Linked DNA regions of Mus musculus: regions 1, 3 and 4 are each reported to be linked to region 2. The links are microRNA targets in miRTarBase. Many come from high-throughput screens and were not tested one by one. Region 2 holds a microRNA gene; each other region holds the end of a gene's coding sequence.
What was found. Region 2 holds the annotated microRNA mmu-miR-33-5p (GUGCAUUGUAGUUGCAUUGCA, at 3,381-3,401, shown strand). A microRNA usually pairs through its seed, bases 2 to 8, with sites in the 3' UTR of a target mRNA and lowers its output. Matches are read on the target gene's strand: a 7mer-m8 pairs with bases 2 to 8, a 7mer-A1 pairs with bases 2 to 7 and ends in A, and an 8mer does both.

Region 1 (7,763 bases), not on the chromosome of region 2:
ACTTCCCTCAGTATTTGGGAACCTGGGTGATCAAACAGAGGCTTGGGTTGGTGCCTTTTTCCAGATAGAGGAGAAAGGGGAAGAGATCCAAGATCCGAGCTGTGTTTCACCCAGCCCTGCTTCCAGAGATAGCAGCTTAGCGGAGGTGGTTGGGATCAGAGATACTCATGATTTGATTTTTTTTTTTTTTTTTTTTTTTTTTTTTTTTTTGCAGCCTACAGTAATGTACTCAGGTAATCTTCTCAGGTCATAGTAATTTGACTTCTAACTCCCCCAAATGACAGTCCCCAGAGTCACATAGTTTTAATGGCATCCCTCTACCCAAGACTGTGAGCCTACTTTAAGCTGCAAATAACTGAGTCTGTTGTCAAAGATCACATCCCAGATCTGATGTATTGGCATTTATATCCCATCCTGCTGAAACTGCCTTCTCCCCGTGGTCCTTCTCTTCTCTAAGGTCAGAAGCATCTTTCCTGTCCTAATGTGCTTCTCTTTTACTCTCCAGATGCAGTTAACGCCCCACTCACCTGCTGCTACTCATTCACCAGCAAGATGATCCCAATGAGTAGGCTGGAGAGCTACAAGAGGATCACCAGCAGCAGGTGTCCCAAAGAAGCTGTAGTGTGAGTTACATACCCCGGCCCTCCCTGGTCCAAAGGTTTTTCCTTAAGAACAAGGGATGGTCCTCATATACTTATAGTCAGTCACACACTCAGATCCAATGGGGAAACCAAGGCCAAGAAGGCAAAGGCAGTTCTCAACAGCATTGTCTCTATGGCTGCTGTTCAGGCCCTTTCTACTCCACAAGCTTATCTTAGAAAACCTGCAGGAGAAGCAGGTCACTTTGAGTCCCCTTTTTCTACCTGCCCTCCCCCGCTGAGCTCTACACAGCCCCTCCATGTATACCAGACTGAACTTCATCTAACAGTGTCTTTTCTCTTCCCACAGTTTTGTCACCAAGCTCAAGAGAGAGGTCTGTGCTGACCCCAAGAAGGAATGGGTCCAGACATACATTAAAAACCTGGATCGGAACCAAATGAGATCAGAACCTACAACTTTATTTAAAACTGCATCTGCCCTAAGGTCTTCAGCACCTTTGAATGTGAAGTTGACCCGTAAATCTGAAGCTAATGCATCCACTACCTTTTCCACAACCACCTCAAGCACTTCTGTAGGAGTGACCAGTGTGACAGTGAACTAGTGTGACTCGGACTGTGATGCCTTAATTAATATTAAACTTATTTAACTTATTGATGTTATGGTATTCCCTTTCATGAATACTAAAATTTCTTAAATGCAAGGTGTGGATCCATTTTTCCCTCTCTGTGAATCCAGATTCAACACTTTCAATGTATGAGAGATGAATTTTGTAAAGATGAATGGGTAAACTTTGTGTTTGAGATTCCAAGGTATTGTTTAAAATATTATTATGGATATTCCTTATTATTAAAAGAAATATATTATTTTTGTACACCAGTCTGACTTTGAGTGTTTTCTTGAGGGAAACTGCAAAGCTGAGAGTATATAAGCTTGGAGAGCAACACAGGTTGGGACACATATTGTGGGGGAACAGGAGAGTGAATGGCCCACTCTTTTGTATTGAATGGTCTTATCTGAGTGTCATAGACTCTTCAAGATGGGGCCCAGTCAGGGATGCTAGTACCATTGTTTTGGTCCCTAGCATTGCTTCTCAGATACATGCTCAACAAAAGCCCCAGTCCTTCCCAGTCACATGTCCTAGTTGCCCTTTAACTGGGATACATCACTTCCATCTACAGCTCTGCAATTTATAATTCTCTAACTGCATAGGTAGTTCAGACAGTGGAGAACAGACGGGAGACTTAACCATCTTCTATAGGAAGGTTATGGTAATGCTTCCTAGAGAGAGGAAGACATGAACTTATCCTTGATAATGGTTAGTTTTATAGGAAAAAAAACACAAAAGCATTAAGGAAAACTGGTAGGTGGGGGAAATTATCCAAAAATAGAAATGAAAATGGTGTGTACATTAAACGGGGAAGAGCGAGGGAAACCATCCGATGGAGCTGCATGTATATCAAGAGATGGGGATTTTTCAAGAGGAAGCTCAATACAGGGTTTGGAATAGGAAGGTGAGAACATGGTATTCCCTCGGACCTATAATTTAAAGGATAAGTTGAAACTCTTCGGTCCAATAAAGAGGGAGGGACGTGTTTCATTCAGAGGCTCAGAGGTGAGCCTCAGAAAAATACATCCTGATGACTTCAGACAGACAGAAAGAAGTGGAGACAAGTGATTGGTTGTGGCTCATCATGAGATGAGGGCTGGATATTGGGTCCAAGAGAACAATGTTCTGGACCGTGGGAGATGGCTTAAGGTACGGACCTTTCCAGAGATTGTTAATGAAGCAATGTCTCTGAAACCTGAGAGTGTTTCTTTCCATCAGCACCCTGACTCCACACAGAGGAACCTAGGTTGTCCACTCAAATGGATAGATGTTCTCTCTCTGAATGTCCATCTGAGGTCTGTGGCATGGGGCTCATCCTAGGGGCATTTGGACCACAGGAACACACAAATAGCCTCTCCACCAAGGTGATTGGGCATCTTTCTCTAAAATATAAACTCCCATAGTGCTCACCCTCTCCATCTAGTGGGGAGAAAAGATTGTCAAGCTAGACCTCACACCCTCTTTGGCAACATGAGGTGCTGGGGAGACCTCTGGCTTGCAGGCAGGACAGGAGCTGAAGATGACTCAGTCACTTAGGAGCAAGCAAGTGGTCTCTATCAATCCAGTGTGGGAGGGGAGGTGTTGCAGAGATCAATAGGGCCCAACGTTTTCCTTCCTGATTTAGAAGCATGTCTCCTGGAAAGTTTCCATTGCTGCTGCTCAGTTAGAGCATTCCTGAGCCAGACCAGACCCTTTGGCTGAAGCTGGGGTTTTCCTTCAGAGCTCCAAGAGCCCGTTACATCAGACAGCAAACGATTTGTACATAGCAGTGTGACGAATTCACTGACCCTACATTCCAGGTCCAGTGGTCCTCGGTGCTGGTTACAGGTCAGAAAAGAAATCTTAAAATCATAGTGGATGCAAAGAGGCAAAGAGGAAGTAAATTAGAAATGAGTTGATCTCTGCTTTGCAGCTTATAGAACAGGGGGCCTCTGATGCCAGGCTGACCGGCTGCAAAGGACCTGGGACAAGGAGAGAGAAAGGAAGTGGGGCACAAATACTTCACCCTGCAGACAGCCTGTCCCCACTCATCTGTAAGTCCTATCTGCTCACTCTTGGGAAATACTGACTAGGTTTCTTTTTCTCGAAGTAAGCCTGAGTTCCTCCATCCTTGCACAATGGAGCCACAATGGGGCTGAGCAAAAGCCCTGGCAGTGCTCAGGCACCTGAGGAGGCCAAGTTGGATACACTCATTTTCCCGTTGCTGCCAACACTCTTCCAGAATGTCTCATCCTTTCCCATAATTCTCAGGCTTCCAGCCTGTGTTTATTGCTCAATTCAGAAGCCATTTCTATGATTTATTGCAATGGGTCCCTGCCCCCAGGTACCACACTTCTTCCTATTAGTCCCCAATTGCCACTAACAAACCACCATAAACCTAATGGCTTAAAACAGACAAATACATTAGCATACAGTTGGATTGTTAAAGCTACAAGTCTACACTGAGGCAATCTAGCTACAGTCCCTTAAAGAACTTGCTCCCACAATCCTTCTCCCCATCCCCACTTCCCTTCTCGTCTAAGTGAGTGGGGGGTCCATCTCCCTAGATATCTCCCTGGGTATCCCCCACTCTGGCACATCAAGTTTCTAGCGCAGATTCCAGGTGTTAGGTTAGTGCAATGGCACTTGAGAAACAGAGCTGCCCTTCAGACTGCATGCCTAGGGAGCAGGCAAGGTTTATACTCAGTAGCTGGGCACAGTCTGGATTGCTGAGAAGACAGCCTAATAACAGCATGGATGTCCTCTGTAGAGGTAAAGCCCTTACTTTGTACCACAGGTCCTTTCTAAGTGGCCTGCACAATATGGTTTATCTTGGTTGTCTATGTGGTTTGAGTGATTGATGCTTAGGGCATTAGCAAAGAATACTTCTGGTTTCACCTATGTAAGTGTGGATATGGGTCTGTAACATGAGTCAGCAGCTAGAGCAGAGACCTACCCTAACATGGGTCCAGACAGAAGAGAAGTAGAAGCAAAACAAGCGAATGGCATGCGCAAGCTCCACTCCAGTGGACCTCGATGCCACCCTCTCCAGCCTTTCAACAGAATCTCACACCAGGGACTCTCCAAGGAGCTTGCAGGCCTGCAGCCTCACACTGGAGTTGGGTCATTGGCCCCTGTTTTCCTGAGGTACCCAGCTTCATGGGCTGAAAAGCTACTAGATTGCTGACTTTCCAGATGTTCACTGGGGAATTATGCAGTGAATAGTTATGAAACTCAGTATAATCAACTATCTTTTATAATTACACACACGCACACTCACACACACCTATATATGTTCATGTATATATACATATATATATATACATGTGTGGGTATATAACTAATATATAATAAACACATGGAGAGAACCCTAGCTAATACATTGTGCTAATATGCCTGAGTTCCTTATAAAATGAGGGCACACAGGCAAGCCAGATGATTCAGTAGGTAAAGGCATTTGTCACCAGGACTTACAATCCCCATTCAACCCTGGAACCCACATGGTAGAAAGAGAGAATTGATTCCTACAAGTTGATCTCTGACCTCCAACCATAAGCCTTGGCATGTATGTGTGTGTATGTGTGTATGTGTGTGTGTGTACACGCACAAGTAAATAAGCAAATAAATAGAGTTTTTAAATTGCTTAATTTTTTAATTGTGTGTCTGTCTGTCTTCATGTGAGTTTGTGCACTTGAGTGCGAGTACCTGAGATGCCCACAGGCATTAGATCTCCCCTGGATCTGGAGTCGCAAGCAGGTGTCAGTCACCCTACCTAGGTGCTGAGAACCAAACTTTGTGCTCTTAACCATTGAACCATCTCTCCAGCCACCAAATGTAAATAACATTAAAAAAAAAAAAACCTTAAATACAAAACTTTCCAAAAGCTTCTGGTGTGGAGTGATGAAATGGGGGAAGCTCTCCTTCCCATTGGTAGGTTTCAGGGTTTCCCAGAAGACCCTGGTAGCACACGGCAACTGAGAGATAATGCTTCTTGGTCCTCTTTGGCAGGTTACTGGACTGGACGCTTGGTGCTGCAGCCTCTGGCACAGGTTTTCATGGTATCTCTTGTTCTGATCTGAACTTGGTCAACTTCCAATTAGGGTGAATGGGAATAAGAATTCAGGAAAGAAATTCAGGGTCTTACAGAATCTGGTGGCACAGCTGCTGTTCCAAATCAAGCACTGACATGGACTTTTAGAGGTTTCTTTTTAATTATGACTAATGCATAAACATCATATTTGCTTATAAATCCTCCTCCTCCTCCTCATCATCATCATCATATCTCTATCTCTGTCTCCCCCCTCTCTCTTTGTATATCATGAAACAATTACCATCTTTAAATGGAAAATCCTCTTAATCCTTTCTTCTGGTCTTTTAATTATAAATCAATAGCATATAATCAACCACCATGACTCCGTTCTCCAGTCCATCTGTAACTTGGTATCTGTTAGTTGACTTTATTTGGTCTGCCCATCCCCCCTGCCCCACCCAGTCGTTAGTGACTACCATTCTACACTCAATTTTCATGAGGTCAACCTTCACAGCTCTCACATGAGGAAGATCACATGGGACTGGTTTTCCTGTGTCTGGCTTATTTCATGTAACCCGATGACATCCGGTTTCAGCCATGTTGTCAAAAGTGACAGGGTTCCATCCATTGATGGCTGATATTCCACTCTATACTTTTACCACATCATCTGCATCTACTTATCAACTAAGACTAGGCTGTTTCCATTTCCTAGCTGTTGTGGACCATGGTATGATAATCATGGAGTACAGATATCTCTCGGCATACAGATTCTTACTCCGTTGGCTACATGCCCAGGAGCAGGGTTGCAAGATTGCCAATTCTAGTTTTTAATATTTTGAGGAACTACCATACTGTTCCTGACAATGACTGCACTAATTTACATTTCCATTAACAGTTTCAAGGGGCCCCTTTTTCCTCCACATCTTTACCAGTATTATTTAATTTTTGACATTTTTTTAAGCAATAGCCCTTCTGACCGGAGGAAGGTTTCACTGTGGTTTTGACTTGCCTTTCCCTGATGTATTCATTTCTTTTCACGTTGCTATGAAAACAAATACTCTTACTCTAAGTGAAAGAGTTTCTTCTTAGTTTCATCATGGCAGGGAAACCATGAAAGCAAGAACTTGAAGCAGTTTATCATGTCCCATCCAAAGCAGAAAAGCAGAGAGTGATAAAGGAAGACTGCTGATCATCTCCCTTTCTCTACTCGCATAGTCCAAGATAGCAGCCAGGGAATGGTGCCACCCACAGTGGGCAAGTCTTTCCATTTCAACTAATCTAACACTGTCATGATAATTCCCACAGGCACACACACACAGGCACACACAGGCCCTCCTCCCAGGTAGTTATGGATTCTGTTAAGTTGGCAATCAACACTAATCATTATACCTCATGGACAGTAAAGTTGAGAATTCTTTTATTTATCGATGCCTTCATTTAGGAAGTGGCTTTTTAGATATACTGTTTATACATTTTTGTGGTGATAAAATATGATTGGCTAATTCTTCCTTTTGTAGCCTATGCTTTTGGGCTCTTCTCCATAAACTTCGTGCCTATGCCCACATCACAAAGGATCTCCTGTATGTTTCCTTCTAGTCACTTCATGACTTCAGGTCTTACATTTCATATCTTTAACCCATTTGAGTTGATTTTTGTTTACTGTGAAAGCTGGGGTCTACCTTTATTCTTTTGAAGGCAGATCTCTGGCTTTCCCAGCACCATTTGTTGAAGACTATCTTTTCTGGAGTGCATGCCCTCCAAAATTCTACTGAAAACCATTTGACTATAAAAGCATAGGGATGGATTTTTTTTAAAAAAAGGTTTCAAACACTAAATCATCTGCAGAGGCTTCCAGGTGGATAAAGTGGTTTAAAGAAAGGAATTGGTTAGAAATGTGGAGCTCTCATTTAAGCCTGGGAGTTTTGGCTTAAAAGAGTTGTGGATCAGGTATGGATGAAGCAAGGAAAACAGCCAGAAAAGCACACAGGGAGATGTGGTGTGCCTGTACCAGTAGCCCAGTACAGTAACAGTCAGGTTTTTTTTTTTTTGAAAAAATCTTGTTGCCAAAATAATCAGAAGCCCAAGGTCTGTACCAGCTGTGATAACTACTAAAGACAGGCATGCCCACCCAGCTCCAATGCCAGTATAGCCAACAGGTGGAAATGGGCATAAGAAGCCCATAGATTGAAGCCATGGTCAAGGATGCTCATCCTGAGAACATGAGAAGCACAAAGCCACCGAGCACCACCTCTCATTGCTGGGTTTCATGGGCACATCTGCACGGAGGCCAGAAGTCCAGATATTGTTCTTCAGGCACTGTCCAGATTTTCTTTGAAACAAGATCTCTCACTGAACCCAGAACTCACTCAGTGGATCAGGCTGACTGGCAAGGGGCCCCAGAGATCTTCCTGTCCCTTCCCCAACACTGGAATTATAGGTTTGTACCCCTTTGCTCAACTTTATTTGGGTTCAGGGGATCACACTGAGGTCCCCGTGCTTACATGACAAGTGTTCTACCAACCGAGCCCTCTCCACAGCCGCGCTGCT
Region 2 (7,763 bases):
CCGGGGATATGGGAAAAGGGAGCCAGAGAGGGCCGTTCAGTCTTAGAATTGGATCTCTAAGCAGCCAAGCTTATAGGTGTAAGCACACATGTGGGTATGTCAGGCCATACCGTACATAGGTGTAGTCTTTCTATAGGTCATAAACATGGCACCTTTTTTTTTTTTTAGTGAATTTTCCAGTGCTCTAGAGTATTTGAAATTACTTCATTCTTTTGTGGACTCTGTGGGATTTGTGACCTCACCATTCTCCAGCAGTTCCGTGCTCAGGTCGGCCCTTGGTGAGTATCAACCCCTCTAGAATCAGGAGTCCATCTCAAAGCATCTTCCCTTGTCCTCGGTTTGCATCTGCGTCCGCAAGGATGCCCCAGCCCATAGTTGTCCCTCATGAGCAACATTCTCTGAGCAGAGAATATTGGTCCTTGTATAATGGAACAGCAAGTGGGTCATTACCACACTGAGGCCCTGGCTGGGTAGCTTAGGTCAGGACCCTTTCCATATGCACATACAAGCCACAAAGGGCCTGAGTGCCTGAGGCTAGCTGGTGTTCACCTTAGCTACAGAAGGCCCTGGAGCTAGCTTCTAACACTCCCGCTGGGAAGGTTCCCTTCTTACCATCCAGCTCCCCACTGCCTCGGCTACAGTCTCCCCTGCTGACTACAGAGCTATGGTTTTATTTGCTTCTCCCTCTAAACTGCCCTCAGAATGACAGCCCGTCGACTGCCACCTCTCAGCCTCTGAAGTACCTGGGGGTATGGGATGCCAGGCTACCTTGGAAGGATGCTCTCATCCTAGGGAGAGAAGGGTCCCAGGAAAGCAGCTATGGTAGCGTGGTTCATATTGACTTGGGGGGTTAGAAGAATACGTGTTCTTACTCCTTTTCTGTCACCGGGCTGTCCCTCGCTGGTCTCACAGGATCCCTTGTAACATAGTTTTAACAGTTGAGAAACCTGAGACTCAGAAGGGAAACTACAGCAATAAAAACACAAACGTGCTTTGCCAGGCAGTGGTGGTGCCCACCTTTAGTTCCAGCACTCGGGAGGCAGAGGCAGGCAGATCTCTGCATTCAAAACCAGCCTGGTCTACAGAGTGAGTTCCAGGACAGCCAGGTCTATACACAGAGCAACCCTGTCTCAAAAAAAAAAAAAAAAAAAATCTAGCATTAAAGTGAACTTTTTTGTTAAACTTCTATTCCGACCAGTTTCCTAGTGATAAGAGTACCAAATGGGGTTACTGGGGCATAAGGATGAGCGTGTTCAAGTCCTTGCTACATACACACTACCAGATCCTGAGGGAGAGTGACCTGAAGATTCCTTGTCCATCACCACAGCCGAGAGATGCCACATGCACTGAGTGCCCCTTAGACTTGGTTCCTGTGGGTGCTAATGGGTGATTCCTGCTGCTGTTCCCATGCAGGCCCCGATGTCATCTGCCGGTGGTGGACGTCCGCAGTCACCATGGCCATCAGCTGGCTCCAGGGAGACGATGCAGCTGTGCGCTCTCGTTTTACTGAAGTAGAGCGGGTCCCCAAGGCCCTGGAAGTGACCGAGTGCGTAAGCTCCTTGGTCGTTTATGTACTTTTCGCCAAGGGGATCTTAGTGAGGTAGCAGAAGGGAGCAGGTCCAGATAGCCATGTTGATCTGGGGTCAGAACTGTGTGACAGATGGGAGCTGGGGGAGGGCCAGAGGAACCCTCGGTGTGTGTTCTGCACAGAGCTCTCCAGGCGCCCTTGCTTAGCACGGTTGCTTAGGATGCCCCTTCCCTCTGCCTCCGTGACGCCACACTGTATAGAGGAAATGGAAACGGCACAGCCCTGGCAGAGCCAGAATCAGCAATGTGATGTATGTAGTGCGGCCACTGCAAGGCAGTCCTGGAGCTTATGTGAGCTCCAGTTCCCGTTTCCTTACTGCTGTTCGCTACTCCCCATCAGCCCTGTTGGCTCTGTGCGTGTGTGTGTGTGTGTGTGTGTGTGTGTGAGTCATGGTACACATGGAGAAGTCAGAGGACAGCCTACAGGAATGGGCTCTTTCCTTCCACCTTGTAGGTTCTAGGGACCAGAAGTCCATCAACTTGATGGCAAACCCCTTTAAGTGCTGAGCCATCTCTCTGTCACCTGGGCAAGATGCATAAAGAAAGATTTTGACATTCTTTTCAACACGTGCCTGAACCTTGGAGGTGTGCAGTATTTAAAGATGAGCAAGCCTGCCTGCTGGTACCCTGCATGGCGTTGGTTAGATGTGGGTGCTCTTGGTAACATTACAACACGCACATGCAGTGAGGCAGAGAGTCCCCTGGGGTCCTGTCCTAAAAGCCAAGGCACACTCTTGCCAAGAACAATTCTACGCAGAGCACCAACAGGCTGAGGAGTGGGAGGGGGCGGCTTGAGCTGTCTGTTTCATTGGGGCAGGCCAGATTTCAAGCCCCTATCTGGTAAATACCCAGCCCTACAATAGCACTCCTACCTGAGTGTGTCTGCCTCTGACTCAGGTGAAGATGCCGAGGCTCAACAAGTAGGTTACCTCAAGTTACTGTGCCACTGAGCCTCAGAGCCACAATGGACGGCAAAGCTGCCTGGCGGGCATCCCTGCTTGGGTTCTTCTTGCTCCTCCGCCCTTCACAACCCAACATCCTGTCCCCAGGCCAGAGACTTGTAACACTGAATCTGAGTCTCCAGTCACCTCCAGGACCAGTTAAGGACTGAACAGAAAAAGGCTTGACTCGGCTCAAAGCCAGCGTTTCCTGTCTGGGGCTGGCTCAAGGAGACCACAGTGGCAGTATCGCAGTGCCAGCAGATGCCACAGCAAGGAGGGTGTGACGACGCTGGCACAGCTGACCTGTGCTCACCTGCTTGCCTTCTCCTACTCACTGCTCTAGGAGTCCCTTGGTGAAGGCCGTCTTCTATACCTGTAGAGCCATGCATGCCTCCCTCTCTGGGAAAGCTGACGGGCAGCAGAACTCCTTCTGTCACTGTGAGAGGGCCAGTGGTCACCTGTGGAGCAGTCTCAACGTCAGCGGCACTACTTCTGATCCTTCACTTAACCATGTGAGTGGGAGCCCCTGGAGGGTTCGGTGTGGTCTGTATGAACAGTTCCGCCCAAGCTTACACAGCCTGCTGGGCTCTCTGAGACACAGAGGCCAGATGCACAGATGAAGCCTACTCGGGCAATGTGCCTTTTGTTTCCCCGGGCAAATGTGTTTGCACCTTTTCTTCTCCCGAGCTCTCTTACTCTCAGGTCCTGCTAGCTGGCAGCTTCCTCTAAGTCCCAAGTGAACGGGCCAGGGCTCTGCGTTTGCTCCAGGTAGTCCGCTGCTCCCTTGGGCCTGGGCCCACTGACAGCCCTGGTGCCTCTGGCCGGCTGCACACCTCCTGGCGGGCAGCTGTGGTGCATTGTAGTTGCATTGCATGTTCTGGCAATACCTGTGCAATGTTTCCACAGTGCATCACGGAGGCCTGCCCTGACTGCCCACGGTGCCGTGGCCAAAGAGGATCTAAGGGCACCGCTGAGGGCCTACCTAACCATCGTGGGGAATAAGGACAGTGTCACCCCTGGTCCCCTAGGAAACATCAGACAGGAGGAACAGGGAACTTTTTGGGAGGTTAGAACTAGCTGCTTCCTGGGGTTTTGTCTGGAATGTCATGGTAGCGGCTGTCAGCGGACCACCACTTGGGTGCTTTATGTAAGTCAGGACAGCTTGTCAGCCCTTCAGGGAGAGCCGTTGTGTCGATCACAGGCTTGGTGGCAAGCCATTGTTGGGCTTCCTGTTGGTCTCCCTTGGTGTGTTTCCTCCCAAGGAAACCATTGTCAGTCATATTTGAGGAACTAGAAAGGTTTTTAAGGGGCACCCTTGGCGCTGTGGTTCAGGGCGGGAGAATGGGCCTGGGAGAGCATGCTCAGAGTGCAAGACCCAGTCCAGGCTCCTGTCCCACGCATGAAGATGCTGCTCCTACACCCACAACTTAGAAATGCCAGCTTTGCCTGGAGGGAGAGTTTCTCATCTGTGTCCCCTGAGGCTATCATCAACCACAGGATAGTATGGCCCAGAGTTGGCACCTTGTGCAGGCATGGGGCAGAAGAGGTCTGGGCAGCATGGTACCCCAAGTCCAATGCCTGCAGGAACCACCTAGGCGAGATGAGAAGTGGCCGTCAGGGAATCTAAATGGTGCATGTAGAGCCCCTCTCCCCTTAGGGCCGCACATGCTACTGATGGCTTATTGGGCATCAAGGAGGTAGCCTGGACTCATCAGGGGTTACACACAACGCGCAGTTTCTGCGGTGCATGCGCAGAGGGCTGCCTTGTAAAAGGCTCATAACAGCTAAGCTGCCATTCCCATTTCACAGATGAGGAAAGTAAGGCTTAGATTAAGTCACATGCCAGGGTTCTGTAGCTGCCAAGACAAACGTGAGAATACCATGTGCCTCTGCCTTCCTGGTGGCCCACCTCCTTCTCTTCCCTCCTCCCACTGCCCTCTGCCCCAGGCTCCGCTGCTGCCTTAGTCAGCCCCTTGGTTCCTCTAGAGGAGAAAAGCCTGGGGACCTCTGGGTGACTTACCCTCCAGGCCCATCATGGGAGACGGAAAATGTGCACCTCTCCCCACGCTGCTTCCTCAGAGAGGATCTTCTCCTGCCCCTCCCAGCCACCGTGATGTGTCCCTTTTAAAGCTTTGGTTTTCTTACCTGCAGAGTGATGAGAACAGGCCACACCCAGCTTGGGGGTGGGCAGTACAGGGTTAATGCTCCCGGCAGATACTCTTCTCAATCCCTGCCCCTGAGTTTTCCGCCTGGGTTCAGGCCAGGGGCTGCTACCTGTTGGGCTGAGGGTCTGGCAAGGGGCTGGGGTCCCTGAATTAGGTGTGGGCGAGTCACAGTCTCTCCCTGCGGTTTATCCCTAGGTGATCCAGCTGTTCACCTGTGACCTGCTACTGTCGCTGAGGACAGCACTCTGGCAAAAGCAGGCCAGTGCCAGCCAGCTCCTGGGTGAGACCTACCATGCATCCGGCACTGAGCTGGCCGGCTTCCAGCGGGACCTGGGCAGCCTTCGAAGGCTGGCCCATAGCTTCCGCCCAGCCTACCGCAAGGTGAGGCCCAGCAGTCTGGTGGGATGTGCAGGCTAGCGGGGGTAGGTCTCGGGTCCAGCACTAAGATGAGGACCATGGGTTCCTTTGCACACTGCTGTGCACCCGGCCCAGAGTCATGTGTCACCAACCAGACCTGCAAGAGAGGTCAGAGGACAGAGGAGAGGCTAAGCAGCTCCCTCCCCAGTCCTGGCCACAAGGGCGCTCAATAGTTGTAACTACTGTCAGATGGCAGCCTTGCCCAAGAGCCACATGGAAATGGACCTTCACTGTAGTTTATTTTGTAAGCCACTTGGGAACTTTTCAGCTGTGCTGCCTTCTCTCCGCAGCACCCCTGCCTCTGGCTGCAGCATCTGAGTTAAGCTCTGAGGAAAGATGCACATCTGTGCTTCTTTACATTCAAGTCATCCCTTCATTGTTTACAGTGCTCATCAGTGTAATGCAGTGAGCAGGTGGAGTTTGTTTCAAGCAGAGTCTCAATATATTCCCTAGGCTTGGCCTTGAGTCTACTTGAGCACCTTATGTGTGGAGTCAGGCACACACCTCCTGACGTGTGTGGCAGTCGGAGGCAGCAGTAAGGGGAGAGGCATAGATTGTACTAAACATTAGGGGAGTGGCTAGAACTTGTTATGACAGCCAGGCGAGCCTCAAACTCACTGAGATCTAGTTGACGCTGCCTCCCAGATGCTAGGGTTAAAGGTGTGTACCATCATGCCCAGCTTAAAAATGTACTTAAATTTTTATTTGACACATAATAATCATAATAATCATACATACATATTACAAGTTATATATAATAAGTATATTACAAGATAGTATATGACATGTAATTATAATTGGCATATCTTTCACTTTTGTCCTGATTAGCATACTTATTTACAATAACTACAATAATTGATGGATTTCATTGTAACATTCCCACACAAGCATACATATGTATATAATGTTACATATGTATGTGTGTGTGCTGGGCTCCTTTCAGTCCCGTCAGCCTGTCCTTCCCAGTGCTGCCTCTCCTCTCCTCCTCCCATCAGTCCCCTTTCTACTCACATGCTTTTTTGTTTCATTTTGTAATGACCCAGTGAGTTTCATCAGGCTTGTTCATAGGCATGTGGGGCCTTGCCGATAGCCACACCACTGATGATAATGTCCCTCTATCTCCCAGCAATCCGTAACTGCATATAGATGCTCACAAGAGGCCTGAGAACTCATGAGCTCACCTCACTCTGTGACAGGAAGTTGGAGAGCCCAGTCTTGTGCAGATCTTACGAGGAGAAGTGTAGCGTCTGAACTCAAGTGCAGTGCTTTGTGCCTGGAGGCCCATGTTGCTCGGCCCTGCTTCCCCCCCCCCCCCCTTCACCTCACCCTGTTGTTATTGTGTAAGGATCCACATGCTGGAGCCTGAATTATTCTATGAGAGCAGAAGAGGACACGGTATCATAAGTGGCAAGGAAAGGAGAAAGCTGGGCTAGAAGCAGCGCTGGAGGCCAAGGCTATTGTTGGGGAAGAAATCCCTCAGCCGGAAGTACAGCCTCAGGGTCGTACTGAACACTGCAGGATACCAAGACAACTGGCCTGGGAGAGATCCGGTCATCAGAGCACAGGCAAAGGGGCTACTTGGTAGTGTGCCTACCTACAATGCATAAAGCCCTCTGTCAGCCCCAGCACCAAAGAAGTCTCAAGTGTGATGGCATACACTTGTAATCCTAGCATTTGGGACATAAAGGCACAAGGATCAGGAACCCAGTTCATCCTTGGCCACATAGTAAATTTGAGGCCAGCACAGGCTACATAAGAATGTTCCTCAAGGGCTGGAGAGATGGCTCAGCGGTTAAGAGCACTGACTGCTCTTCCGAGGGTCCTGAGTTCAATCCCCAGCAACCACATGGTGTCTCACAACTATCTGTAATGAGATCTGATGCTCTCTTCTGGGCTGTCTCAAGTCAGCTACAGTGTACTTAAATATAATAAATAAATCTTTAAAAAAAAAAAAGACTTCCTCAAGAAGACAGACAGACAGACAGATGTGTGCCCCATGGTTTGGGCTGCACCTCCCTTTTGGAACCCATTCAGGTTAGACCTCTGGTCTGCTCACAGACTGGCTGGGACCAAACGCCTCCCCTAAAATGCCCTCCTTCCTGCCCGTCCTCACTCAGGAGGCTTCAGTGCCCCCACCCAGCATCACGAGCTACTCAAAAGGCTGAAACAGGACTATTGTAAATTCAAGGCCAGCCTGGGCAACTTAGTAAGACCTTGTCTCAAAGTCGGAAAGGCTGAGGATGTCGCCCAGTGTGGAGAGCTTGCCAGGCATGGGTAAGGCCCTAGTTTCTCTCTCTAAGACTGGAGAAAGACAAAGAAGTTAGAGACCTAGACCTGGGCCTCCACCCACCAGTGGTTTCTGTTTTTACACAAGCGGCCGATTTAGGCCAATGAGATGGCTCAGCAGGTAAAGGCACTGGCTATTAAGCTTGATGGCCTGCGTCCAATCCACAGCACCCACGTGGTGGCAGAAGGGAACCGGCTCCCTCCCACAAACTGTCCTCAGACCTCCACATGCACTTACCCTCCACACACACATACTCAAACACACAAAATAAATCCTGTTTTTCTGAGTTGGCATGGTAACCATACCTTTAATCCTAGCACTCTGGTGACAGAGGCAGGTGGATCACTGTACATTTGAAATCTGCCT
Region 3 (7,763 bases), not on the chromosome of region 2:
ATGCTGAGGGAAGCTCTGACTGTGTACTCCTCCAAACCCAGCCCATTGGTACGCGACACCGAGTGCAGAGGATACAGTTCCACCTTCGTTTGCAGTCACTTATATCCATACCCAAACTGCTCTGCTTGCTGTCGCATTGCCTGCTTTAAAAACTGATTCGAAAAAAAAAAAAAAAAATAAAGATTCACATGCAAAAAAAAAAAAAAAAAAAAAAAAAACTGATTCGTTTGAATCATATGGTTTGGTATTTTAGCAGAGTGGTCCGTATACAGTTGTCAGCAGTTCCTTCCTTTCTGGTGGTGCTATTTCGTATTCTATTGGGGATGCACAGTTTGTTTATCCCTCTCCTTCTGATGGTCTACTAGATAATTTTGAAATGAGTAAAGGAAAAATGATTGCTCACCCCTTGACTATGGCAATCTGTTTACATTTAACTTCTCTCTAATTTAAAATTTTACTCATAAACTAATTTTATATAATATTCTATTATCAATCAGTTATCAAAAACTATGAATGATAGTATGTGTACTTTTTTTAAACAATGTCTGTAAATTACGAAGTGATGTGTCTTCTGCTGTTCTTACAGCCTTCACTGTTTCATAGGCTTTGCACAGGTATGTGAATTTTTTTAAGAAATTTATTCATCAGGTCTAGCTCTGCATCTTCATCGGAACTGCTCAGAATCAATTACTGGTTTTCTCTGCAGTCCCCAGTGAGCCCACTTGGTTTCCTGCGGCATTGACTCGTGTTTTGTCCTTTTCTTTTCAGATACTTGTACCTGCTGTTCTCTGGCGATGACCTTCTACCTTTAGACCACTGGGTGTTTAACACAGAGGCGCACCCTCTGCCGGTGTTGCGCTTAGCCAACAGCACTCTTTCAGGTAATCCTGCTGTCCGATGAGCACAGCCCCAGAAGGACCATTCTTACCTGTGTTTTGTTTACATGGACCACTACAGAGACTGTCTGCAGAGGAGAGGCGGCTGTGGGAAACTGGGACTCTTATGTCAGTATGCCGGATGAAACTCTTCCCTGCAAGACTTTTCACTTGTACATATATCAACTTTGAAATTATTCCATTTTATACCTGACCAAAACAAGTTCTGGTACATGTAGGACAGAGACCTGATGTGTTTTGATTCTTACTGAGATGGCCACATGAGAAACAATGTCTTATTCTATACTGTCAGTGCAAGTCAAGACCATAGAGCACCTTACAGGAGCTAGAGATGGCTTTTTGAACCAGTTATACATTTGTTTTCTCCCACAGTGGAGCAGCTCTCAAATCAAATATAACACATTGTGTAGCCCCTTTCCTCCATTTTAACAATGGAACAAACCGAATGAGCAGGAACCGAGGAACATGTAACTACATTGTAGCAAGAAGACTTGGGAAAGAAACAAACAGATACTGGCCCTGTCTGAATTTTCCAGCTCCTCATTGGATTTTTACCAGACTGGCAACCATTTCATTCCCAACCTAGGCATTGAAATCTGTTTAGATTGAGTTTTTCTCTGAGGGGCATGATCTCATGAAGAATATTTTTCAAGTCGTTGTCTCCATATAATATGCTGAACCTGGTATTTATCATAACTGCTGCTTATGAGCCGGAGTGTGGGAGTGTGCATGTAGCTCACGCTAGCATTGGGAGCATGATGGAAGGAGGGAAGGTGCCAGATTGTTGCCTTGAAATCTGTTTTAGAGAAATCCTTAATTATTCTTCTGAATCAGCAACTATATCAAGCAAACATTTTCTGCTTTAATCTCATAACACACTTAATAGAGTCATTCACCTTACAACTCCATGTGGTTCGGCAAAATTGACTCTACTGTTATGCAGCTCTGTATTTGCTAGAACAAACCTAATCGCTTTTACAACTTACTAAAGCAAAGGCAAAACATAGCAATGTCCCTTGAGTAGGGTCAGGTCCTTCACTCATTACCTCACACGTGTGATCTGTTCACAAAGAGTCTATGTTTTTAAGTTTCTCCAAGATATTATCCATCCAAAGAATTACTAGAATAGCTTCGGAATAATTTTCAGTGGCAAATGTGTGACGTAAAGAATCATACTCACTAAAATTGGCATGAACCTAAGGGACTTACAGACCTGCACTGGTTATTTTTGTTGTTGATACTGCTCTATATTTTGGCAGAAAAAAGGGTAAATTTTTATCAAGAACTATAGTTCTTATTATAATATAAGATAAATAGTAATGCTATAAATTTTCTGTCCCTTGAATTTCTGTGATAATTCAAGACACTTTCTCTCTTTTATTTCATACATACATCATCTATTGATGACAATAAATTTGAGAACGCTATAATATTTTATGAAACACTTTGCTTATGAATTCTACTGTGGATTTCTGAAAACTTATTTCCTTGGTTGGTAGCTTTTCTTTTTAGCCCCGTACTAGCTTATTACTAGCAGATTTAAACTGTGGAAAAAATATAATTGGACATGTTATAAGTTGACTGAGCATCTTCCAGTGAAAACCATTATCTGATCCTCAGATTGAGCCAGTACTCCAAAAACTTGCCACCTCAAACTTGTTCAGTATTGATAAAAGACAACATGGAGAGAGTGAGCTCTAGCACATGTCAAAACTGTATCTTTTCCTACTTGAAATTTTTAAACTGTAAATGAGAATGGTAGATGGCTATTACTTTAGAAAAAAAGATGAGGTTTTGGTTCTCAGAGAAAAAGAAAGTGAGCCTTCCTCATACAGCACAAGCCCACTCCCAAGTCAAAGGAAAGTGAGGAGCTGAAGGTGCCAAAGACCAGTGCAGCAAGCAGGGGAACCTCTGTTACACTCATGCAGTAAAGGCGCCATCTTGGTTCCCTGGGAATGCTCCAAGGAGACAAGAGTCCCCCCACCTACCCAGTGCTCTGCATTGTCCACGTGATCCTAGAGCAGTAGAGAGAAGGCCCAGGTGTGAGCAGGACATGTTCACACAAAGATCTTAAGACTGTCACTTGACTGTCCTCACCCTCCTGATAAGAACTAGAGCTTGTAACAATGCTTTTTCCTCTTTGAATACCAAAGGCGATTAAAGTCAGGTACAAACGACTGCCAGTGTCATGTTTGATTTTGTTAATAGAATTTTTAAAATAATTTTTTCCAAAATCTACCATTATCCCATATTTTGCTTACTTTTTGTGTGTTTTCCTCCATCGTTCATATACTTGGTGTTTGTAAACCTTAGTACTTTAGACTCCATATCATTGTGTTTATAAACCCTGAAGATAACCCAGAAATGCTCATTAACTGATGTCTCTCCAAAAAGCTGGTACCTCACCTTCAGCTTTGGGCAGAGTCGTGCAGATTAAATAATACATAAAAGTAGGGACTATTGAACACCTTCTAATTCCAGATTTATTGCTCATTTTAGAATCACACCTTTTGGTTCAAACCTGAGTTTTAGAAACTAATGAACCAATATGAAGCTCGTAAAACTAAGAATGAGCCCTTCACCAAGAAGTCTCACTGCAGAACAGCAAGTTCCGAGGTGAAGGTCTTTCTTCAGGTGGGCTGCACATTTTGTGCGCCTCTAACACCAGCCTGTCGGTGTCGTCCAGCTGGGGTATGTGCGCAGGAAAGCCTGGGTGTTAGAGGAACGCATTCTTTTTGCAGAATATTGACTACCTGATTCCCTATGATGTCATCTCGGGCGCCACGGCTTCCCTTGGCAGGTTTTAAACAAGCAGTCTGAGGTCACGATCCTCAGCTTCTCCTCCTTTTTGCTCTTCATTACCAAAGTGTTTGTCAGCACTCTGAATTTGTCGGTAAAGACTGACAATGAGTCTCCCTTCAGGCTGGAGTTCTCTGAGCGAGTGCATTCGTGAGAGAATGAGGGAACAAACAGGTACAGAGCATGTCATACGCGTCACGCTCCGCCTGGCACCACCCCGGCCTTACAGCATGTCACATGATTCCAGTGGCATCTTCTGTATGAGAGTGTTCCATAGCATTTTAAATATTCCCCAAAATGAATCATGTTTCAAAATTCTTAATTTTATATTTCATTTAAATTAAAAAGGGAGATAAAAGGTTTATAATATATTTTAAACACTGTTACTATATAATACTAACAACAAAAATTGTAGTTAATAACTAAAGACTCTTGAAAAATGTCAAAGAAATATTTGATTTCTGTTGCATCTTTGACTAAAATATTTACTTCAGAAATAAAATCATTTGTATTTTGTTATTACTTTAATTACATGATTAAGATCAATACTTTGTAGAAGTCTGTGTTACTTTATATCTAAAAGAAAAATTGTCCCTTAATTCATGGGTACACTGTGCAGTTGTAAATTGTTTTTTCTCGAGTATACTTCCTAATAACGGTGGCATCTGTATTTCTCGCATATAGAGAAAACATACTAAAATTTCTCTAACCCAGTTACTAGAGCATAATAGATGTAACTTTAGGTTCCTTCTTTTCTCTGGGCTCTTTATCCTGGGATTGGCTGGCTCCTGCCTCGTCTGTTTTTGCTTAGCTGTGTATATGTACAGTTATACACAGATCTGGAGTATGGTCTGCTCACTGATAGGTAGATGATAGAGTTGCTGTAGTCCGCACAGCCTGTCTGCAGAGCATTTAAGTCATCAGCATCTGACCAGGAGCTGTTTCAAGTCACTCGTAGTTCAGGGACACTGGAAAGCATGCCTCTGTTCTTTAGCTCCATACCCCAATACAAGTATTCTGTTTGCTCTATAAATAGCCAGCAAGCTTTTCTGTAAACAGCCAGAGAGTGTTTTAAGGTCTGCCAGTCATGTAGCTCTCTTATTACTCATTTCTGCTGTTACAGCTATAAATAATATGCAAATACATGAGTGGAACTGTGATGCAATGCACATTAAAAAAAAAAAAAACAGATGGAGGCCTGGATTTGCCTCTTACATCATAGCTGCTGACCCCAATCCAGAATTTAATTTGTTTAAGATCCTCTAACCTATAACCTGCACCTTTTCTCTTTTTTATTTGCATAATTCACTTTAAAGCAGAAATATGTATGTATGTACACTTGTATGTATGTGTCACCTAAAGCTGTATATTTTGCTCTCTTGAAAGTAGATATATTTTTCGGGGTCTCTTCAGGTTTTAGGATATGATTGTCATGAAAGAGGCAGAATGGGAGGATAGGCTTTCGGCACCTATCTCCGTCTTGTTGTTTAATGTCATAATTCCAGATTACTCATGAACAAATAATCTGTATGGCATCAAAATACTCGTTTCTAACTTCACCTGCTGACCGACACTTGGACCAAGACCTTGCGATGTAGGAAAGTATGCACTCTCTTCTCACAGAGCTTTCAGATGAGAGCATAGTAGAATTCTGGATCTTGGTGCTACAGAAAACAGTCTTTTTGCAAACTGTGGGCAACACAAAATGGGTTATGTGCCCAATTCACCCTTTGGTACAGCCACTGCTAGTATGTAGGGTGTTGACTGCTGTCACTCCTAGAGCAGCGTAAGTCTGAGTGAAGGTATGTTCCCTGAGGCGTGCCCCCTTCTCGCTTCATTTCATGATGCTCCACAATGCTTTCACAAGTACGTCAGTATGCTTCACTTTGCAATCAAAGCATCCTTCAACCTCAGCTTTATACTTGCACTGTTTAACAGTCAATCAGCAACTGCAGGACTCACGAAAGGTACAAGTCTGTGGTATCATCTTGCTAGCATCTATGTTGTGGTGTGCCAAGCCTGATGGGCAGTAAGCTTCCTGTGATGTTTGTCCAGCACTTCACTATTTTTGGAAATGAAACCTGTATTCAGAATGATAGGGCAGAGCGAGCTCGTCTCAGCCTTTGTCATGGCATACATAGATGAACCGCCTTTCCAGGCCCTGCCTACTCAGGTCACTTCCGCTCTGTGTGCACGTGAGCTTCAGTACTCCAGAAACACTCAGAGCATACATGCAGAGCAGGCAGACACCTTGCAGTAACCTGTATGCTACAGAATCCTGCATATCGATGAAGTGCACACTAGAAAACCATGAGAAGCAGAGCTCTTGATTGACAGAACTTAGATGTTCATTTTTACTGGGTTAACTAAATACAGTATCCCTGATTATAATTGTTGGTTTAGAAGTTGAAATACCATTCTTTATTCTCACTGGCCTCAAATTCGCTGATAATTTTTCCCTAAACTAATAAGTGGGTAAGTATAACCTTTGTTGTTATCCACTGGCTGCTCCTAAACTGGTTTCCAGTCATGTCCTCCATAATGTGATTTTTTTATAAATCAAAGGTAATATTGTATATTGAAGATCAAATAAAGATGTTCTTTAAGTGAAAAGTCTCTCTCTCTTTTTTTTTCACCCTACAGTGACAAACAGTTCAGTTTCTTCCTGTCTATAGAAGAGCAACTTTGGCTTTGTTTACAGGAACTGGGGTTCAGTCTTCATTGTTTGAAGCATTTCTTTTGGCTTTGTCTGTTTTCACATTTCTTGATTTTAAGAAAGATAAAGAGCTTGTTTTTATACACCTACTTGAAAAGTAGAGCTTACTGTCCCCTCTTACAAAACAGCCTTAAACTAGTCAAGAGTGAGGCAGTTCTAACAGCAATTTGGGACACTTAGGAATTTTTACATACAAACTTTTGGGTGGGCACATCTTCATTTCTTTTGGGTATATATGTATCTAGAAAGGAAACTGCTAAATCATGGTACAGTTGTTCATAACTTGCTTTGCTTTCATGCTGTAGTCTGTGTAGGTGGGAGTACCTGGTTTCATCCCTCCACTGCCTACCAACAGGAAGCTGAGGCCGCTGTAGTGATCTTTAAGTTCAAATTGTGCATTTGGATATGAACATGCCAAGGTGCACATGTGGGGGTCAGAGGACAGTTGTGGGAGGCATTTCTCTCCTTCCCCTTCCCCCATGTGGCTCTCTGAGATGGAACACAGGCTATAGCGCTTGGTGGAGAGAGTCTGCCTGCTAAGCCTTCCCATCAGCATCATTTAGTGTTAGTTCCCAGCTCCGTAGTCACTGGCACTGGCCATCCATACAATCAGTGCCTCTCTTCAGGTTAGCTTTGCGTATGCTCTGCCCATTTTTACCTTTTATTAAGCTGTGAGTTCTGAATATACTCGTGTTCTCTAAGATGTTGATGTGCCCTCTGTCTTAATGGTGCCCTTGAAGAACAGAAGAGTTTAGCATTGATGAAGTGCAAGGTCAATGTGTTCTCTGATGGAATATGCTTTCTTGCCTAATTTAGTGTCACCGTGACTTTTCATGAAAAGCTAACTAGTTTTAGTTAGAGGCCTGTTATCAGTTCTGAGTTTATCCCTGCGTGTATGGTGAAGGCCTACTGGTATTGTTGTATGTGGACAGCGCTTGCCTTTGGCATTGCTCTGGCACCTCTGTGAGCAGTGGATGGCTGCTGTTAAGGCTTTATTTCTAGTGTCATCTTGCTCACTGACAGTTGTCTAGTCTAGGGCTATGAGGGTGTTAGTGGGTAGCTGGGCAGCAGTGTTTTTCAGCCAGCAGTGGGATTTGCACCTCTTTAATGGAATTTGCACCCCTCTGTTAATAGGCAGTGTTTTGCGTTTACTTTAACCTGAACATTCTGTGTTTTCTGCCCATACCTAAGGCTTCTTGCATAGGCTTTGACATAACCATGGCTTCCCTTGCTCTCTCCTGAATCTGCACTCAGCCTTGTTCCTCGATCGATACATAGAGCCTTCTAACCACCAGGGCCATAGGGCCTGATACAGCATAGCTGCCACACTCCACAGAGCTCTGTGGTGCCTC
Region 4 (7,763 bases), not on the chromosome of region 2:
TCAGGATGTAGAACCCTCAGCTCTACGGCCATGCCTGACTGCTCCCACCGTGATGATCATGGACTAACCTTCAGAAACTATAAGCAAGCCCCTAACTAATGCTTCCTTTTATCTGGGCATGGTGGTGCACACACCTCTAATGCCAGCACTCAGAGGCAGAGGCAGGCAGATTTCTGAATTCAAGGCCAGCCTGGTCTACAGAGTGAATTAAGGACAGCCAGGGATATAAAGAGAAACCCTATCCTGAAAAGCAAAAATAAATGAAATAAAATAAGTGTTGTTGTTGTTGTTTTTTTAAAGAGTTGCCTTGGTCATGGTTTTTCTTCACAGCAAGACAATGCTGCACTGGGGCAAAGAAGTTTCCTACAGTTTGCCCAGGTTTTGAGACTTTATAGAAGGCTAAATTTAAAGGTGGTAGACTAATTAATCAGATAGAGAAAAAAGTTTCTGTGAGACATGTTTCTCTCTACACAGCTCTGGCTCTCCTGGAACTCACTGTCAACCAGGCTGGCCTGAACTCACTCACAGAGATCTCCTGCCTCTGTCTCCCGAGTGCTGGGATTAAAGGTATGAGACACGATACCTGGCCCAGATGGAGAGAATTTTAAGACAGCTTGATACTTAGTCTATTCCTAGCTAGCTTTAGCCAGGTTTACATTAAGAATCAAGAATGAGCTGGGCAGTGGTGGCACACGCCTTTAATCCCAGGACTCTGGAGGCAGAGGCAGGTGGATTTCTGAGTTCGAGACCAGCCTGGTCTACAGAATGAGTTCCAGGACAGCCAGGGCTACACAGAGAAATCCTGTCTCATAAAAAAAAAAAAAAACACAACAAAAAAACCCCCCCAAGAATGAAAGAGTGGAAAGACTTGAAAACTTTGCAATTTTGTCAGAAAAAGGTGTATGGTTAAAGTTACCTTCAGGGAAGATAGGGTTAAAGAGATTTAAAAACAAAAACAAAAACAACTAAGTTCTGTGCACCTGGACCACAGGTTTTTTGAGGGCATCTCAAGAGCTAACCAGACACCATCCATCAGAGACTCAAGGCTCTGAAGGTGTGAAGAAGTACAATCACTTGAAAAACTTTGAGAAGAGTTCTTGCAAGGGTCACCCACAGAAGAGTCTTTATGGTTAGCTATTCAGAGGCCACAGTCTCTACCATCTGGTGGGGCCTGGCCATTGCTCAAGTTGGTGACAACCTATTGTTATCTGCATGACTGGTTTTTGTAGGCATGCAGAACATAAATAAATTTGTGGGCCATAGAAACTTTTAGTCAGATTCCAGAAGAAAGCTTGTGAGACTCAGTTCTGTGTTCCAGGATGAGAATTTCTATCAGCAGCCGAGGGATGAACTAGGTTCTGAGAGTGCCTGAGCTGCAGTTCAGGAAGCTGAGGATGCTGGGACTAAGGACGTCCGCCGAGGAAAGCTGCAAGCAATAGGTAGAGCCAGCCCAAGAGAGGCCATACATGCTAAAGCCAGCAAGGCCATAGTGATGACCCTTTGGGGCCAGAGGTACAGGATTAAATGTCTGCCAGACTGGGGTTCAGTCTTTTACTGTTCCTTTCAGCATGTCTACACCCGCCCCTCTTCCTTCTGGAATGGGAACATTTAAACCATGTTACTGGATATTGTAAATATGTAACTTGATTTTTCAATTTTGTAGGGGCTCACAACTAAGAGTTTGTCTTTGAAGATGCTTTAGACTTGGGTTTTTGAGTCACACTGGAATGGTTGAGACTTTGGAGAGTCTTAAGAGAAGTATTGAAGACATTTTGCGTGCGAAGATGGGCATGAGTCTTTGGTAGCTAAGGACATCTGAACGTCAGGAATGGCTTGCGTATGAACTGTCCTCCATAGGCTTGGTTCCCAACTGTTTTGAGGATGAGGCGGGACCATTAGGAGGCAAGGCTGAGCTGAAGAAAGTAAATGAATCTGGGCGTGGAGGCCCAGGTTTTGGTTCCTGGTGCCCACATGATGGCTAACAGCCAGTTCTAGGGGATCTGATACCCCTTTCTGGCGTATCTGAGCACTGCATGCGTGTGGTACACATGTGCATGCAGGCAGGCACATAAAATAATTTTTTTTTTTAAAGTCTAGAAAGGTGGAGTTGAAAAGAATCGTTACCAAGTGAAGAGATGAAAAGTTCCCAGGAGAAAAAGCTTCTAAAGTCCACTAGTACAGAATAGCAGTGGCTGGCAGCTATTTCAAGACAGCTTGTATAGACCTTTTTTTTGAGGAGGTGCTAGCTTATGAGAGCCAAGCACATGCTCTACTCCTGAGCTCTGCTCCCTACAGAGGTTTCTGAATGTTCACAATGAGTGGTAAGTGGGACCTGGATGGGCAGGACTGCAATGACTTTCACTATTTGGGAGTCTGAGGCAGGAGGTTTGCAAGCCCAAGGCCATCCTGGAGAACTTAGGCCTTAAAAGAAAAAAAAATACAGAAAGCCCAGTGATCAGGTTATTGTTTAGTATGTGGGGCGCCCTAGGTTAAATCTGTAATACTGTAAACAAGACAACATATGAACATTACATTATACCTGATTAAAATGCACAATAGTATGTTAACCTTAAAAATTAAATTTAAAATGTAAAAGGAATTTTAGTCAGCTGACTCTTCTCACTTCTGCTGTGAATTTCTGTCCTAATAACAGTGTCGCCACCATACTTTAGGGTGTCTCACCTGGTGTAGTGGCTGAGCAGCTGTGTTGACAGGACTCACAGTGGCTACGTGGGGATTTCCCAGACATGGCATCTGCCCAGTTGTCATGGATACAGGTTGCTCAGCAGTTCTGAGATAGCAGCCCATAAGGACATGAGTCTTCCAAGTAGCTTTTTAAACATGAAGGCAAATTGTGGTTGACAGCTTAGGGAAGCCTCCCATGAAGGGGCACAGAGAGAGGCTCTTCAGAGGGAGCAGGCACTGCCACCTTGAGAGCAAACATCCTGGAAGATTAGGAGAGGCGAGGAGAGACAGACAAACTGACTGTCCACCTTCAGGCCATAGAGTTTCTCTTTCCCCAGAGTCAGATGCAACCCTTAGCTTTCCCGGTTTTATAGGCTGGTGAATTCTCCTTTTCAATTTAATTAGTTTGGGGCCAGCAGCACAGCTTGGCAGGTAAAGGCCCTCACTGCCAAGCCTACTGACCTGAGTGTACTGCCCGGGACCCTGGTGAGAGAGAAGAGATTCTTTTAGGTTGCTCTGCGACCTCCACAGATTGTGTGGATTAGATGCATATGCATACAAACAAATTCAGTTTGGAGTTTAACTTAAATATGGAGAAAGCGCACTGAATTCTGGAACCGTGCCTTCAAAGTGAGTCTCAATTCCTTTTGAGCTGAGGGAAGGTACAATAGCCAAGAATCCCTAAGAAAGAATTTGCTAATGGCTGCCATTTGCTTGACTGGACCTTGTCAGTGGCCTTGTTACTGCAGGAAGTGTTTATACATTTTCTTCTCATACATTGCTGATATTTTAAAAATTATATCTCTATCTAGTATGTCTCTGTATGTGGGTGTTAGAAGACAACTTTTAAGACTCTATTCACTTCTTTCTGGGTTCAAATTCAGGTTATCAGGCTGGACTGCAAGCCTCTTCACCCACTGAGCCATCTCAGTGGCCCTTAAACTCTTGAAGGCTTGAGACACTTTAGTAGTGGATATATATATATATATATATATATACATATATATTCCTATTTAATAGGACTATGTCGATAGTTCTTCCTGGAACAGTTTTGTAAGTTTAAACTGTTGCCTAAATTTGGGTCAGAAAATTTATTTTCATCACTACTTCATAAATATTTTGCTGTTATTAATCATAATGTAAATATCTGCTATGCAGGATATCTGTTGTACGACCCCTGTGAAAGGATCATTTGACCTCCAAAGGGGTCGTGACAGGCTGAGAACACTGCCCTAGAGCCTCCTAGCAGGTATCAGTGGCTTGCTACCCTGACCTCAAGAGGAGATGGGAAAGGAAGCATCCATATGAGAGTACTAGGATGGCACCCAAGGAAGGCACCACCCGAGGATGGATCCCCTGGTTGACCACAATGAAGGGCAAGGCTCACAGTTCTGTCAACAAAGGTTGGGCCCTGAAGGGTCTTCTGGACTTCTTCCCATAAGCAGGCAGTGATGAGGTTCTGTAAATCCCATTTGTTTGGCCAGGCATACACTTCAAAATATATTTCATAAGAGAAACTGAAGGGCCAGACATGAGAGACATGGGCAAGGGACTGTGGGTTTGAGGCCAGCCTGGGGGATATGGCAAGGTCTTTCCACAGGGGAAAGGGGGCAGGGAAGGAAAGAGAAAAGGGAGAAATCCACACAGAGTTGTACTTTTTTATATAGAATTTTTACAATATATTTCTCTTCATTTGCATATCTTATCCACAACTTAAAACATTCCTTTTACAGGCTGAACTCACTCAGCTGATATAATCAAAATTCTTTCACTCAACCAAATAAGAAAAATTCAAAATCGTAAACCCGTAAGAAAACAAATTAAAAACGATGATGAAAATAAGTCACTCCTCTCATTAGAACAGTGTCTGTACAATATATCTGATTTGGAACAGAATTCTTTATAGATTAGGCACATGTTTCCACGACCCCTTATGCCTGCCAGTTTTGTCTCCGTCCAGGCAGTCTTGCCTCCTAAGAGTCAAGGGGATATTGGCCTTGATGGAAATCCTTTGGGACCTCCTGCCCCGGCTGGGGTCAGGAGACATTGGCCTGGCTCAGCAGTGCCACCCAGTGGCCTAGAGAAGCAGAGGCAGTGGGCTGCAGGTGGCCAGGTCAGGAGGGACCCTGTCCGGTCAGAGAGCAGCTGTGGTGTGTGAAGAAGGGCAAACTTAAGCTCATTCTATGCAAACTGAAGCACGTAGAGAAAACAGCAAGCAGTGAGTGGAGAGGAGCTATGGAGTCCAGCGTTTATTTACAGTTGCTCTTCCCGATGGGAGGGTGGGAGGAGAGCTGGGGCCACTGTCCCAAGGGAGGTCTCCAGCCTTGCCCTGCCCTGTCCACCTGCTCTCTCTGCTCAGTCTGAGGTGTGGAGGAGTGTGAGTGTGCCATCTCCTCCCCCATCTTCTAACTGCTGTGTGGTCTGAGCCACCGCGAGTGAAGCCTCTTCACCATGCACTTGTTCTGACTCTCATCCGAGACCTACTTGGAGGGAATGGCGTGCAACGGGAGACTTCTCTGGGGTTTAGGCCGCTTGCAAAGCGTAGGTGCTTTGGCAAAGAGCAAAAGGTGAGAAAGAGGTTCCTCTGGGCCAGCAGACACCATGTCCAATACCATGGGACCTGGACCAAGTTCCCTCTGATGTCAGGGTGGTGGACCATAGGTCACTCCATTTGTTTCTGCTTTTATAACCCATCCCCTCCCATTCTGTGGCCACTTTTCCTGTGTGCTGGGGTTCATCAGATAACCTAATTCTATGACTGGGCAGGAAGTGGTGCCAGAAGGCATAGCACCTTTGCACAAGATGCTCCCACACCTGCAGGTTCAGGTTCTGCCAATGCAGTCCTTTGCCAACTCCCAGAAGAGTCTTCAGAGGCCAAAGGGGCAAGCTTGGTCACAGCAAAAGCCAGCCAAATGTGGCCCTGGCTCTTAGGAGCCTTTTTTTTTTTTTTTTTTATTTGCATTCTGCCTGTGAGGTGGGATATGCCTCTGGCCAGATGCCTGCCCTTCAACAGCAGGTGCCTCAGGATTCTTCCTGAAAGTCCACGGCCTGCTGCTGACCCAGCATCCTACTCTGTGGCTCTGGGGAAAAAGGTCATCAGCACACAGGGCAATGCTAAAACCATAGAAGGAAATACGCAAAAGCTTCACTAAAACTAACGTAGTTATTGCTAGGCAGGGGATGGCCAAACAACCAGGCAGGAGGTTCAAGGTCGTAGGCTGCTGATCACCATGACCTTGGAGCAGAAGTATAATCAGGTGTGTCCTGACTCCTGAACAAAGGCTCCTCTGAGGGCACTGCCTGCACTGCAGGTGCTGGAGAGCCCCTCCATTTCTGTCACTTCCACACATGCCAGTTTGCCCCTAGGCATTCCCTAGGGGACCTCTCAGGGAGTCGATGTGGTTCTCTTCTAAAACCATGAGGGGAAATGAAAACTAAAACAATGAAGGAACAAAGATGTGTGCGGGGAGCTGCTGCACAGTGACAAGCAAAGCCTGCCAGCTGCTCCCAGGGACACCTGCTCTCACTGTGAGTTGGCCAGCTAAGCTGTGGCAAGAAGATTGCTTGGGAACTGGAGGTGGCTGGGAGGTGCTCATGTTGGTTATGGGCTGGTGTCCCAACTGGGCCACTGCTGCTGCAAGCTGCAAGTCTTACTGCAAAGGTAGCTCTGGGTGGATGGTGCCTTCTCCTGATGGCAAGCCTAGGCAGCTCCCACTCAGTGGAGACAGAATCCTTTCAGAGACGGCTTCCAGGTCTTCAGTGCTGTGACTCCCCTGGAGGAGACTGGCCTCTAGTCTCTATTCTCTGAATAACTTTCCCAAGGCCTCTTGATGCTCTTTCTGAGCCACTCTACACTGCTGTGCCTTTTTGGACATGTGGCGCCTGCAGTGGGCCTTTTTGATGAGGCGGCTGCTTGGCCAGATGGGAGCAGGGGGTGGGCTCAAAGAGAGCTGGGTGCAGAGGCTTCAGGGGTTTCCTGAGCAAGGTTGGAGGTCTGCTATAAACCCCTGTAGACAAATGATCAAGTCCATGCATATCACACTGAGGCTAACACTCAACATTCCAGAGGCGGGTGGCCTTGTTTGGGTAGTTGATGGCCAGGCTGATAGCAGCAATGTTCTGCAGAGCCTATGGAGGGAAAGAGCAGTTATCAATATCAAGAGCCACTGACTTCCTCATCCTTGAGTCTAAGTTCCTCAGCTGGAGGGTGATAAGGTGAGCCAGAGGTAGTCCCCCTTACCCAGTGGCTCACAAGTAGAATGAGAAAGAAAACAAAACCAAAGCCCACAGGAAAACCCTGGGTAAGTAATAAAACAACCATGGCCATGGTGTGGTAGCAGTCTAGTTGCTGAAGCAGGGGTCTGGGAAAGCCATAGAAAGGAACAGAAGGGGAGCACAAAGGTTCACACAAGAGGTGAACAGCTAGTGCTAGAGAAGTACCCATGGGGAGCTCAGAACACTGCGGGGAAAGCAGCTGTCCCAGAAGGACATGGCTAGAAGGCAGAACTTCAGGGAAGAGACTGGCAAGCTGTGGGGAGGGCCACAGGGGAAGGGGGATGAGATATGCATGGGCAAGCATGAGGGCCAGTCAAGCCCATGGAGAGAAAGCTGGTGCTCACCACACATCAAAATCTCTTATAGCACATCAAGAAAGCAAGGGCCGTAGTAGCCAGTGCAGCTGGCTGCTAAGAGACCTCAGCAGCCCCACCTGCTCTTTCCCCTGCTTTAGTAGGGGAGCCCCAGTTCCGAGCAAAACACTTCTAACCTTCCACATAGAGCCTTCCTTGAAGGATTAGGCTCTGGGAAGAGTCCCAGGTGGATGCCTAGCTGAGAAACGTTCTATGAGCGCTGGAGATCCCCCAGCTGTCTGTCTGCTATAGTAGAGCACAACACTTCTTTCTCCAGGATGAGTACAGGGCAGATGAGTACAAGAGTCCAGCTTTTGTTGACCCAGACATTAAAGAAGTCTGCAAAAATGGAGCCAGGGCCGCCATCCTCAATATTATTTTGTTTTGAAGAGATTTTTCCCAAAACACATTAACATGAAATGTGTTTACTGTCTTAAAGATTGAATTGAT

Region 1: the mRNA of Ccl2 is a reported target of mmu-miR-33-5p. Seed matches in the 3' UTR shown: 7mer-A1 at 1,294-1,300.
Region 3: miRTarBase lists Man1a2 as a target of mmu-miR-33-5p. Seed matches in the 3' UTR shown: 7mer-m8 at 4,858-4,864.
Region 4: miRTarBase lists Zzef1 as a target of mmu-miR-33-5p. Seed matches in the 3' UTR shown: 7mer-A1 at 5,642-5,648.

The regions. Positions count from the first base shown.
Region 1 is chr11:82,035,978-82,043,740 of GRCm38, forward strand. It overlaps Ccl2 (chemokine (C-C motif) ligand 2), which reads left to right. Exons shown (of 3, transcript NM_011333.3): 2 at 506-623; 3 at 949-1,475. The coding sequence ends at 1,201. Among named protein-coding and RNA genes, the nearest start is that of Ccl2, 4.3 kb to the left of the region's middle.
Region 2 is chr15:82,194,747-82,202,509 of GRCm38, forward strand. Mir33 (microRNA 33) reads left to right here and starts at 3,376; the gene lies at 3,376-3,444. It overlaps Srebf2 (sterol regulatory element binding factor 2), which reads left to right. Exons shown (of 19, transcript NM_033218.1): 14 at 169-278; 15 at 1,414-1,546; 16 at 2,872-3,040; 17 at 4,889-5,074.
Region 3 is chr3:100,560,748-100,568,510 of GRCm38, reverse strand. It overlaps Man1a2 (mannosidase, alpha, class 1A, member 2), which reads left to right. Exons shown (of 13, transcript NM_010763.2): 13 at 769-6,308. The coding sequence ends at 901. Among named protein-coding and RNA genes, the nearest start is that of Gm40106, 23 kb to the right of the region's middle.
Region 4 is chr11:72,923,687-72,931,449 of GRCm38, reverse strand. Zzef1 (zinc finger, ZZ-type with EF hand domain 1) reads right to left here. Exons shown (of 55, transcript NM_001045536.2): 55 at 4,330-6,813. The coding sequence ends at 6,733. Gm34704 (a long non-coding RNA gene) reads left to right here. Exons shown (of 6, transcript XR_879998.1): 6 at 5-116. Among named protein-coding and RNA genes, the nearest start is that of Gm34704, 13 kb to the left of the region's middle.